Linked DNA regions of Callithrix jacchus. The protein of the gene in region 3 purifies or fractionates together with the protein of the main gene of each other region. This does not show direct contact. Links are inferred from orthologs where the notes say so. Each region holds a gene or a part of one and is shown on either strand. Other genes may lie near its edges. The genes, in order: YBX1, DDX56 and MECP2.

What was found.
Region 1: the proteins of MECP2 (region 3) and YBX1 purify together in Homo sapiens (affinity purification with western blotting; 3 studies listed by BioGRID, with this or other methods). This does not show direct contact. The link is inferred for Callithrix jacchus from reciprocal best matches to the Homo sapiens genes MECP2 and YBX1.
Region 2: the proteins of MECP2 (region 3) and DDX56 purify together in Homo sapiens (affinity purification with mass spectrometry; 3 studies listed by BioGRID and IntAct, with this or other methods). This does not show direct contact. The link is inferred for Callithrix jacchus from reciprocal best matches to the Homo sapiens genes MECP2 and DDX56.

Annotation. Positions count from the first base shown.
Region 1 is NC_133508.1:79,348,623-79,351,735, reverse strand, and holds the end of YBX1 (Y-box-binding protein 1), read right to left. Parts: intron 2,684-3,113; coding exon 2,449-2,683; 3' UTR 2,418-2,448; intron 1,008-2,417; 3' UTR 640-1,007; downstream 1-639. UniProt on the Homo sapiens protein: DNA- and RNA-binding protein involved in various processes, such as translational repression, RNA stabilization, mRNA splicing, DNA repair and transcription regulation.
Region 2 is NC_133512.1:12,665,285-12,668,934, reverse strand, and holds part of DDX56 (putative ATP-dependent RNA helicase DDX56), read left to right. Parts: intron 1-655; coding exon of another isoform or gene 656-686; coding exon 687-746; intron 747-839; coding exon 840-1,001; intron 1,002-1,484; coding exon 1,485-1,645; intron 1,646-1,789; coding exon 1,790-1,960; intron 1,961-2,094; coding exon 2,095-2,185; intron 2,186-2,775; coding exon 2,776-3,020; intron 3,021-3,335; coding exon 3,336-3,455; intron 3,456-3,650. UniProt on the Homo sapiens protein: Nucleolar RNA helicase that plays a role in various biological processes including innate immunity, ribosome biogenesis or nucleolus organization. Plays an essential role in maintaining nucleolar integrity in planarian stem cells.
Region 3 is NC_133524.1:150,008,678-150,012,427, forward strand, and holds the start of MECP2 (methyl-CpG-binding protein 2), read right to left. Parts: upstream 2,620-3,750; 5' UTR 2,587-2,619; coding exon 2,528-2,586; intron 2,057-2,527; exon of another isoform or gene 1,896-2,056; intron 1-1,895. UniProt on the Homo sapiens protein: Chromosomal protein that binds to methylated DNA. It can bind specifically to a single methyl-CpG pair. It is not influenced by sequences flanking the methyl-CpGs.

The DNA.
Region 1 (3,113 bases), on a different chromosome or scaffold from region 3:
TTCTAGACAGCAGTCACTTTCAACTACATGACTGATAATTCCACAAAGCAAGCCAAAGACATCTAACAAAACAATAGAAAACAGCCAGTCTAGACTTAGGCTGTCAGGTGTGGAGAACCACCTAACTACAAGTTGACCAACCTCCATGTTCTTAAGCAGCTTTCCCATGGGTTTTTGTATTATTTATTCCCATTTCTAGGACATAAGGAGCTGAACCAGTATTTGGTGACCACATCAGGCCCTGTAACAGGTTCTCTGAACACTTTAAGTTGGCATCTTCAATTGGCATATTGAAATAAATTCTCCCTAGGTGACAAAACTAAGTGGAGAAGGATCAGAATCTGGCCAGTCTAGACTAGAGCATCCCTTGTAAGCACTGCCACACAGCCAAAGGAACCCACACAAAATCTACACCACAAAGTCTTCCTTAAAAATGGCCAGGTTATCAGAATATGTATTTTCTAATTTTCAGTATGAACCCACAGGCATGCCACTTAAAAGGATTAGAGATTTTAAAGACATTTTACCTGAGGGAATTACCAGTGAGCATCATCTATTTGTAGACTGGGCTAAGGGTCTTATAAATACCTAAGAACTTATAAACTAAAGCAAAACTAGACAGAAATTTACACAAAGACAATTATTTAAGACCTTTATTAACAGGTGCTTGCAGTTTGTTGACTTTTTTGAAAAAATCAAGTTGTAAACTTTTATTACAAATTAAAAATGAAGTTCTTAAAAATCTCAACTTGACCAGATATGAAACAATTTAAAAACCTTTAAAGGCGTATTGAGAAAAACCAGGCTTTTTTAAAAAACACGTTTGTTATTACCAAAAAGAGACATCTTTAGGTAAAAATAATAAAAACCCCATGCTGCATAGATAATGCAGATAGTTCTATTTATCTGGTCAACAGGCAAAAGCAAGCACTTAAGGTCTTCAGCTCCAATCTTTTGTTCATTTCTTATTGCTGGAATTTCTTATTTCTTCTTGTTGGATGACTAAACTGTAAAGAAAAAAAACAAAGATGATCATGTAGAATTCATGGTAATCTTCATTTAATGTAGTACATACTCTAGTTTACATTACTTATATATTGGGAGACATTAACAGATCTTTTGCCACCTAGCAAATCATCTCTGGTTGAATGCTAATTTCGGAGGGAACGACAATCATACACCTCTCAGTATCATGCAAAAAGCTGAATGAAAATGAATCCCTTAATTTTGAAATTTAAGGTTAACAAAAACAAGTGAGCTGGTAACAAGAACGTAAATGTATCATGTGGTCTGCCAGAGCATTATTATTATTAACCTACAGTTTGAATAAACCAACAAAAAACAACTACAGATGATTACAGTGGCTCATGCCTGTAGTCCCAGCACTGGGAGGCCGAGATGGGTGGATTACCTGAGGTCAGGAGTTCAAGACCAGCCTGACCAACATGGAGAAACCCCATCTCTAGTAAAAATACAAAAAATGGGCCGGGTGCGGTGGCTCACGCCGCACTTTGAGAGGCCGAGGTGGATCACGAGGTCAAGAGATCGAGACCATCCTGGTCAACAAGGTGAAACCCCGTCTCTACTAAAAATACAAAACATTAGCTGGGCATGGTGGCGCATGCCTGTAGTCCCAGCTACTTGGGAGTCTGAGGCAGGAGAATTGCTTGAACCCAGAAGGCGGAGGTTGCGGTGAGCCGAGATTGTGCCATTGCACTCCAGTCTGGGTGACAACAGCGAAACTCCGACTCAAAAAAAAAAAAAAAAAAAAAAAAAAAAAATACAAAAAATACAAAAAATTAGCTGGGCGTGGTGGCTTATGCCTGTCACCCCAGCTACTCAGACAACTGAGGCAGGAGAATCACTTGAACCCAGGAGGCGGAGGTTGCAGTGAGCTGAGATCACACCATTGCATTCCTGCCTGGACAAGAGTGAAACTCCAGTCTCAAAAAAAAAAAAAAAAAGATTTTATCCATGTTGCCACTTTACCCAAACAGACTCTGTCACTGTATAGGTTCATTCTAATAGCTATACTACTTCTTTTATTAAATAATGCATAAATAACAATGTTAATTAACTTTTCTCAGAATACAGCTAGGGAAACTTTTCTCAGCTTACTGGTCAAATCACAAAGTTCAGAAAAGTTGATAGAAAGCTCCAATAGTTCAAAAAACTCATGAAAATACAGGTCTCCAGTGTCAGAATTGAGAACTAGCTGAGGGGTGGCCAAATATGATTCTGATACTCAATACTCCTAAAATGAAATATTTAGGTAATTAAGAATAGGGCAGAACACAATGTAAATAACATGGCTTTCGTTATCTGATAGAATTGAGTTTTCCCCACTCTTGCATTAATAAAATGAAATGGACACCATTCATGACTGCCATAAATGGTGGCCATCCAGGGTTGCTTACCCGGATGATGGTAGAGATGGTAAGCCGGCATTTACTCAGCCCCGCCCTGCTCAGCCTCGGGAGCGGACGAATTCTCAGCTGGTGGATCGGCTGCTTTTGTCTCTTTGCCATCTTGTGGTTTAGGGTTTTCTGGGCGTCTGCGTCGGTAATTGAAGTTGCGGCGGTACCGACGTTGAGGTGGCTGCTGACCTTGGGTCTCATCTCCTTGATTTTCTTTATCCTCTTCATTGCCGTCCTCTCTAGGCTGTCTTTGGCGAGGAGGGCCCCTGCAATAAATGTTGTCAAACTTAAGAATGATAAAACCTCTTCTCTTCAACACACCCACCAGCAGTGTTACCATTTGGTTCACTCAACTAATTCATCATGCCTAGCCTGTTCTCTGTATCAAGTGGCCTGTAGGCAATTTGTGTAAGGAGATGGGAGTATAAACTGGAAGATGACTTTTAAAAACTGGTTTTAATGGACTAGCAAACTTTTTTGTTCATAGCATTACAGAATGAATCCTGAAATAGCTAATAGTAGGCAAATGCCATCAACATTTTGCTGTCATTCTAAAAGATCAAAATGGGCTAAGTGGTAAACAAATTTGTAAACAGTATAACCTTTACAGATGAACAATTCCTAAAAAGGCATGTGTTTAAAATCCAGCCTGTTCAAAACCAAACATGTTCCCTTCATAAAAGTAACAGTATACAG
Region 2 (3,650 bases), on a different chromosome or scaffold from region 3:
TAGATTTCACCTTTCCGCTGATGAGGCAGATGCAATTGGGATAGCCAGTGGATGGGCCAACAGCTAGTGGCTGTGAGGAGAATAATAGTTTCCACACTGGTGTGTCATATCTGCAGATAGGTTGCCACCTAAAAAGATTTTTTAAAACACAGCAGTTGGCCCGACGCTATGGCTCACGCCAGTAATCCAGCACTTTGGGAGGCCGAGGCGGGCGTTTCACGAGGTCAAGAGATCGAGACCATCCTGGCCAACATGGTGAAATCCTCGTCTCTACTAAAAAGTACAAAAATTAGCTGGGCGTGGTGGCGCGCGCCTGTAGTCCCAGCTACTTGGGAGGCTGAGGCAGGAGCATTGCTTGAACCCGGGTGGCGGAGGTGGCAGTGAGCCGAGCTCGCGCCGCTGCACTCCAGCCTGGCGACAGAGCGAGACTCTGTCTCAAAACAAACAGAAAAAATGAGCAGTTAGGGTATACACGCGCTGATCGGAGCACAACCGCTCCACGGCCTCCTAGACCGAGTCAGGCTCTGCGCAGCCGCAGAGCTTCGCCAGAACACCGGAAGCCTAGGCGCCAGGACTTCCGGGAAGTAACGGCGTCTCCGAAGCTGATTGGTTGTTGCTTTGCGCCAACCCCGCGTCAGTGGTATTCTTTTCGCAGGGCGTGCGTGCTGCCGCTACTGAGCAGCGCCATGGCGGACTCGGAAGCACTGGGCTTTGAACACATGGGCCTCGATCCCCGGCTCCTGCAGGTACACGGGGGGGCTGGGGAGCCGGCTTACCGGCTCCACGGGACACACCATCACTCTTCGCACCGCTTGAGCCGCACTCCTGGTCTCTCCTAGGCTGTCACTGACCTGGGCTGGTCGCGACCTACGCTGATCCAGGAAAAGGCCATCCCACTGGCCCTAGAGGGGAAGGACCTCCTGGCTCGGGCCCGCACGGGCTCCGGGAAGACGGCCGCTTATGCTATTCCGATGCTGCAGCTGTTGCTCCACAGGAAGGCGGTGGGTAACGAGAGAGCTGAGGGGAGGAAGGAGGCGAGCCCCCAAAGCCTGGGAAGAGCGGTTCCCGTTTGTCTGAGGTTCTCTCTTGGCCCTGTACCCATGCAGGCTGGCCTGGAGTTCAGGTTACCTGGATCCTTGTCTAGGCCCTGCTATGATCAACTTTTGTGTAATCTTCAACAGAGCACTTTCTTTTCTTTATTACATAAAAAGGGCAATTTCTCTTCTACTTATAGAATTATTGTGACAATTTAGCTCCATAAATTTAAAGTAGCTTCATAAACATAGAGTACATTATTCTTTTGAGGGTCAGTGCTTGGGGAAAATGCTCTGCATTTTGAGGCGGGCAGAGTGATGGATGATCAAAATACAGCTGAGCAGTGTGGCAGCAGATGGGTCAGATAGGCTGGAACGGGTAGAGAAAAGGATCAGGTGGACACAGTGACATGCACTGGTGGCTAAAGTTTTTAATTCATATTCTTACAGACAGGTCCGGTGGTAGAACAGGCAGTGAGAGGCCTTGTTCTTGTTCCTACCAAGGAACTGGCACGACAAGCACAGTGCATGATTCAGCAGCTGGCTACCTACTGTGCTCGGGATGTCCGAGTGGCCAATGTCTCAGCTGCTGAAGACTTAGCCTCTCAGAGGTGGGTAAAAGCAGCAAAGCTGCACCTGAATGAAGCTACACAGAGTTGTGGGGTTGGGTTTATGTGTGGCAAAAAAGAGAGCAAGTCCAGGCTGAGATCCAGCTGCTACGTTCTCCCTGATACTGATGTCTTGCCCACCTTCAGAGCTGTGCTGATGGAGAAGCCAGATGTGATAGTGGGGACCCCATCTCGCATATTAAGCCACTTGCAACAAGACAGCTTGAAACTTCGTGACTCCTTGGAGCTTCTGGTGGTGGACGAGGCTGATCTTCTTTTTTCCTTTGGCTTTGAGGAAGAGCTCAAGAGTCTCCTCTGGTAAGGCAGAGGTGGGTGTGATTCCTAATGGAAACATCTGTGAGTAGGATTTGGGACTACAGTGGGATGGCGGGAAGCCAGTTACCACAGTTAGAGGCTCTTGGAGCTGGAATCTCATTGGACTCTCATTTCAGTCACTTGCCCCGGATTTACCAGGCTTTTCTCATGTCAGCTACTTTTAATGAGGATGTGCAAGCACTCAAGGAGCTGGTATTACATAACCCGGTAAGGGACACCATGGAAGTGGCTGGAGCTGCAGGCATGGGGGTACTCGAAGATCTTGACACTCCTTCTTAGAGGAGCCTTTGGTGTTTTGGGTGGGATAGTTGTCAGTGTCTCATCCCTGGTTCTGAGGCACTAAAAGCCAGTGGTCTAAAATCACTATATATTTCCACGTCTCCATAAGGGATGTCTCCCATTTCAGGCCATACTTGGCCTAAAATCCTGAGCAAGGACATAATGGGTGGCTTTGAGCAGCAGAGCCAAAATTCTAAGGCCAATGTTCTCATCTTAAGTAAACTTTACCTTTCAGAAGGCTGGTTGCTGTAGGCCTTCCCCACTTGATGTAATTCTTTATTGATGTGTTTCTCTTCGTTCTGTGCCTGGAAGTATTTTATATATGGTTCCTGTGGTATACTCGATATACCACAGCAGTTAGGGCATTTTGGGTTTATGTTACAAAACTGGAGGAGACTTAGGGTGCCAGGAATCCTGAAATGCCTGCACTGAAATGTTGATATTTTGGTTGGTGAGTAAGTGGCCATACCATCTCTGTGTTCTCTTCCTTTCTGACCACAGACCTGTCTTCTCCCCAGGTTACCCTTAAGCTACAGGAATCCCAGCTGCCTGGGCCAGACCAGTTACAGCAGTTTCAAGTGGTCTGTGAGACTGAGGAAGACAAATTCCTGTTGCTGTATACGCTGCTCAAGCTGTCATTGATTCGGGGCAAGTCTCTGCTCTTTGTCAACACCCTAGAGAGGAGTTACCGGCTACGCCTGTTCCTGGAGCAGTTCAGCATCCCCACCTGTGTGCTCAATGGAGAACTTCCACTGCGCTCCAGGTCTGCCACAGCCAACATCTTGGTTGAGATCAGTTGAAGATAGAGACAGAAAGAGGACCCAGTTAATGTTCTGTTTCTTAAACATTTAGTAGGGGCCAGGTTCTAGATGTGACTGATACTGACTGACTTCTTCAAACTCCGATATACCTATCGTTATCTTATTTTCAGTTGAGGAAACTGAGGCACAATGATTAAGTAGGGAAAGAGATTAAGAAGAGGAAAAAGAAAGGGTGATAGTTACTATAATACTAGGGATGGCAGAGGGGCCTCACGCTTGCTCTGCCAAGCTGATCCTCTGTCTACTCTTGGCTGCAGGTGCCACATCATCTCACAGTTCAACCAAGGCTTCTACGACTGTGTCATAGCAACTGATGCTGAAGTCCTGGGGGCCCCGGTCAAGGGCAAACGTCGGGGCCGAGGGCCCAAAGGGGATAAGTGAGTCCATGCTGCTTTTCCCATCCCTCCTCAGAAAAACGTGGGTTTTTGTTTTTGTTTTGTTTTGTTTTTTAGCTTTTTGGAAGACTAAAAGCAGAGTGCACAGAGCAGGGAGCCAAACCTTCCAGGCCTGGCTGGTAGTGTGGTGCAGAAAGCCCCACTTGGCTGCCTGGATATGGAGAAGGGAGTGAATGG
Region 3 (3,750 bases):
ACAGAGGCAGGGCAGGCACGGGAAATGACTCGTTGGAAATCACAAACACATACACACAGAATGCAAGCACCCTAACTCTTTGAACACACAGTGGTCTGTGCCTGGCCCCAGACCTACCTCAGGATTTCAACAGCACAAAAGTCAGAATACGGCTGACTGCATGATACTCTCCTACCAATCAGGTGAAACAAAGACCCGGTACTCTAAAGTATTCCAGGCAAAATTTTAATAACAGGCAATAGAAAGGTTTGATAGGCCAGTGCTAACAAGAAAGCCTTCGACATTTTCTTCAAGCCGTTAGGACAATGGAAAGGGAGGTACCCCTCCAACAGGCACCCTGCAGAGAAAACTATACTCTGGAAGCTGCCTGTGCTGTTGAAAGGGCTAGGCGTGTGACAAACAGCTAACTGGAGGGGTACCAGGGAGACAAACTGCCAACTATGAAGAACAAAGCAGAGACCTTAACTTGTCATGTCTCAAGCTGAGATGTACAAACTCTGTGATCATCAAGTGAGGCTTGTGTGTCTGCCTGGGGATGTGACTGTATTCCAGTGATCAGCCACCTAGCTGACCTGCCACGAATGGGTGACCTCTGGTGACTTATTTTAATAACCGTACTTACTACTTCTAGATTGACTGTGTTATTTAAGGTTCTGACATATCCAGGTAAGAAAATAAAAGCAAGTGTTTCCTAGACTCCTGACTGGGATTTGAAACAGAAATCCTGAAAAGCCCATAAATAAGCCTATTTTCCTAAATCCTTGGTGGAAATTCCCAAAAGATGAAAAAATCCAGACCCTGTCTTATTATAGGGACCTAGCATATTTCAAAAGACCCAAGAGGTCAGCTGACTCTGGTTATTAACTGAAATTGCTGAGACACAGATGAACATCCCAGGCACGGAATCCAAAATTCTCTAGAGTGATAATTATCTATGACTGCAATGATACTACCGAGGCCGTATATACTTCATTTTTACAGTATAACAAAATGCCTATAACTTAGAAGAGCCCTTCAATGTTCAGGCCACTCAATACCAGATCCAAGTAGGTTTGGTTCCTCGATTACCAACCAAGCCCTGAATTCGATCCTGTTATCTCAACAGTTTGGGGTACTGATCCCACACAGCATACAGACAACCTGTGAAAGGCTCGGCAGAGCCCATTCTTGTTCCTGGAAAAATAACCAGAAGCACACATCTGCCTGACCATGAGTCAGGAATATCAATTTTGTGGTGGAGCCCATTTCTGCTGTGACCAACCCACACCCGAACACACTCACAACAGAAGCAACCCCCACAGAGCAATTCCAGAATGAGCTTTTTCCCCCTCGGGGTCCATACTTATCAATGTCATAAACGGTCTCCCCTTCGAGAGCAATCCTTTTAAACTCTTCATAATGACCCTAAGTCTTTAGTGCAAAACCACAGAAACATTGCCACTGCCACACAAAAGTCATCTGAGTTTCAGTTTGGGTGATTCGGTCATAACCAAACTCAACAGAGAATAACCTTTCGGGCACAATGAACAGTAGCCACAGCGTCGCGATAAACTTGCCCCATCTCGTACCGGTGATCCGGAGCGCTCCAGGGCGATGAGAGCCCGTTACCTACTATGTCCCACTCCACTTATGTAACTGGAAGATCGCCGGCGAAGGGGGGGTAGGATGGGAGGGTGCTCACATTCCGAGGCCACAGCACCCCCAAAGAACCTCTGAGCACCCTGAGGACACGCTCACACCTAAGAGCCTCAGGCGCCGAAGAGCCTCGGGTGCTGCTGGACGCACAGCACCCTACCCACGGCTCCTGATGGGAACTATAACCACCCCTTTATGATGAGTTGTGGGACCCAGAACACAATGTCTAGTCCCTTTTGTGGACAATAATCCCCACCTACTTGTTCCTGCTAGATGGGGAAAGGAGCCGGCGGACCGACTCGCTCGCAGTGGGGGCAGAAATTCATGGAATGGGCGAGAAGGAGGGGGAGGCAAAGCCCGGAGATGGGGGTGAGAGCGCAGGAGCCCTTGTGGCGCACTCTCCCGACGGGAGGCGAAGTGCGCACGCGCGCCGGTGGGGGGGCCGAGTAACGGGAGAGGGGGCGCGCGAGGGAGGGAGAGGGGAGAGCGCGATCCAGGGAGAGACCGGGGCCGCGGGCGCGCGACGACGCCGCGGCCCAAAGCCCCGAAAAGGGCAGGAGCGCGCGCAGCCCCGACAGGCGAAGCCCCGGCGACAGCGGCGCCCGCGGGGCCGGGGGCCGGGGGCCGGGATGCGCGCAGAGGGCGGGAGAAAGAGGTGCGCCAGGCGAAGGAGGCTCCGGGGAGGCCGCGCCGAGGACGGTCACCCGCGAGCACGGGTGACGGGCCGAGGGGGAGAGTCGCCACCGGCGGAGGGAGGGGGAGGGTACAGAGGAGGGACGCCATCCGCCAGCCGTGTCGTCCGACCCCGCGGGCCCCTCCCGCGCCACGTCCCGCCCCTGTCCCCCGCCCCCCAGCAAGGGTCCCCGCCCGCGGCCACGGCGGTCCCACTCACAGTCTCTCCTCCTCGCCTCCTCCTCCTCCTCCGCTCGGCGCGGCGGCGGCGGCGGCCATTTTCCGGACGGCTTTTACCACAGCCCTCTCTCCGAGAGGAGGGAGCGCGCGCGCCGCCGACGCCGGGACCCCGCACGGCCGACGTCGCGCCCCGCCCTCCCGGCCGGCCCGCGCGCTGCTGCACCTGCGCGCCCGCGCCCCGCCCCCGGCGCAGCTGCGAGCCCACCCGTCATTGGCTGGGGCGGCCGGGTTGGGGCGGGGAGTCTCAGCGGTGATGTCGTCAATTGGCGAGATTTTCTGTCCATTTCGGCCAGGGAAAAGAGGGCAGACCCCTCTAGCTGTTCATTGGCTGCTTTCGGCCGTCGTTTGGGGAAAAGAGGCGGCTTGGGCGCGGAGGGGTTTAGTGGGCGGAATTTGAATGTTAAGGATTAATGGGCCCTTGCGGATGCTGGGGCAAGTGAAGGTGTAGGCTTGGGACGTTGTTTGCGTCCCAAGCAAACCCTCTGTCCGCAGATGCATCGAGTGCGCTGCAAAAGGGTTGCATTGCACCCGCATTTTCTCAATATCACCATCTTCAGCAGAAGCAGCAAAGTTGTCCGCCCTGGAGCCTGACGTTGCTCCAGCTGAGGGGCCTTGGTTTCAGAGGCCTACTCGTTGCATTATTTCATCTGAGCCTGCCGGGTGCTTACGCTCATAGGGGCGGGGAATAAACTGACGACAAATCCCAACCCTGGCCTTCGCAGAACTCTGGCGGGGGAAGAGAGTGCATGCCAAGGCCTCGTGACACCTGTCATTGTTGGATCAGATGGTTTGGTGGAGGTGTGAATAAGGAGCGCAGAGAAAGCTGCACTTAGGTCTTCCTGGAAGATGTGATTTGGGAGCTGAGATCCAGCAGTTTTTCACTTTCCTAGAAGAGTTGATTTGCAGTTGAGATCCAGCAACTGTGTTTTGGGAAAATAAGAGTATAGAAAAAGTGTTAGCCAACCAGGCGTTCAGGACAGGGATGTTTGTTAAGGGGACCTTACCCTGGTGCCAGTCATTATCCAATCCATGCAATGATCTTTGTGTTAGTTCTGTGCTTAGCAAGAAAACCTGGTTCTGATTTGGCTGCCTGCCCCCATTCATTTATTGACTACCTGCTATGTGCCAGGCACTCTTCCAGGTTCTGGGTGCACAGTACTGAACAGACAGCAGACTAACATTCTTGCCGGGAGAGTCATACTA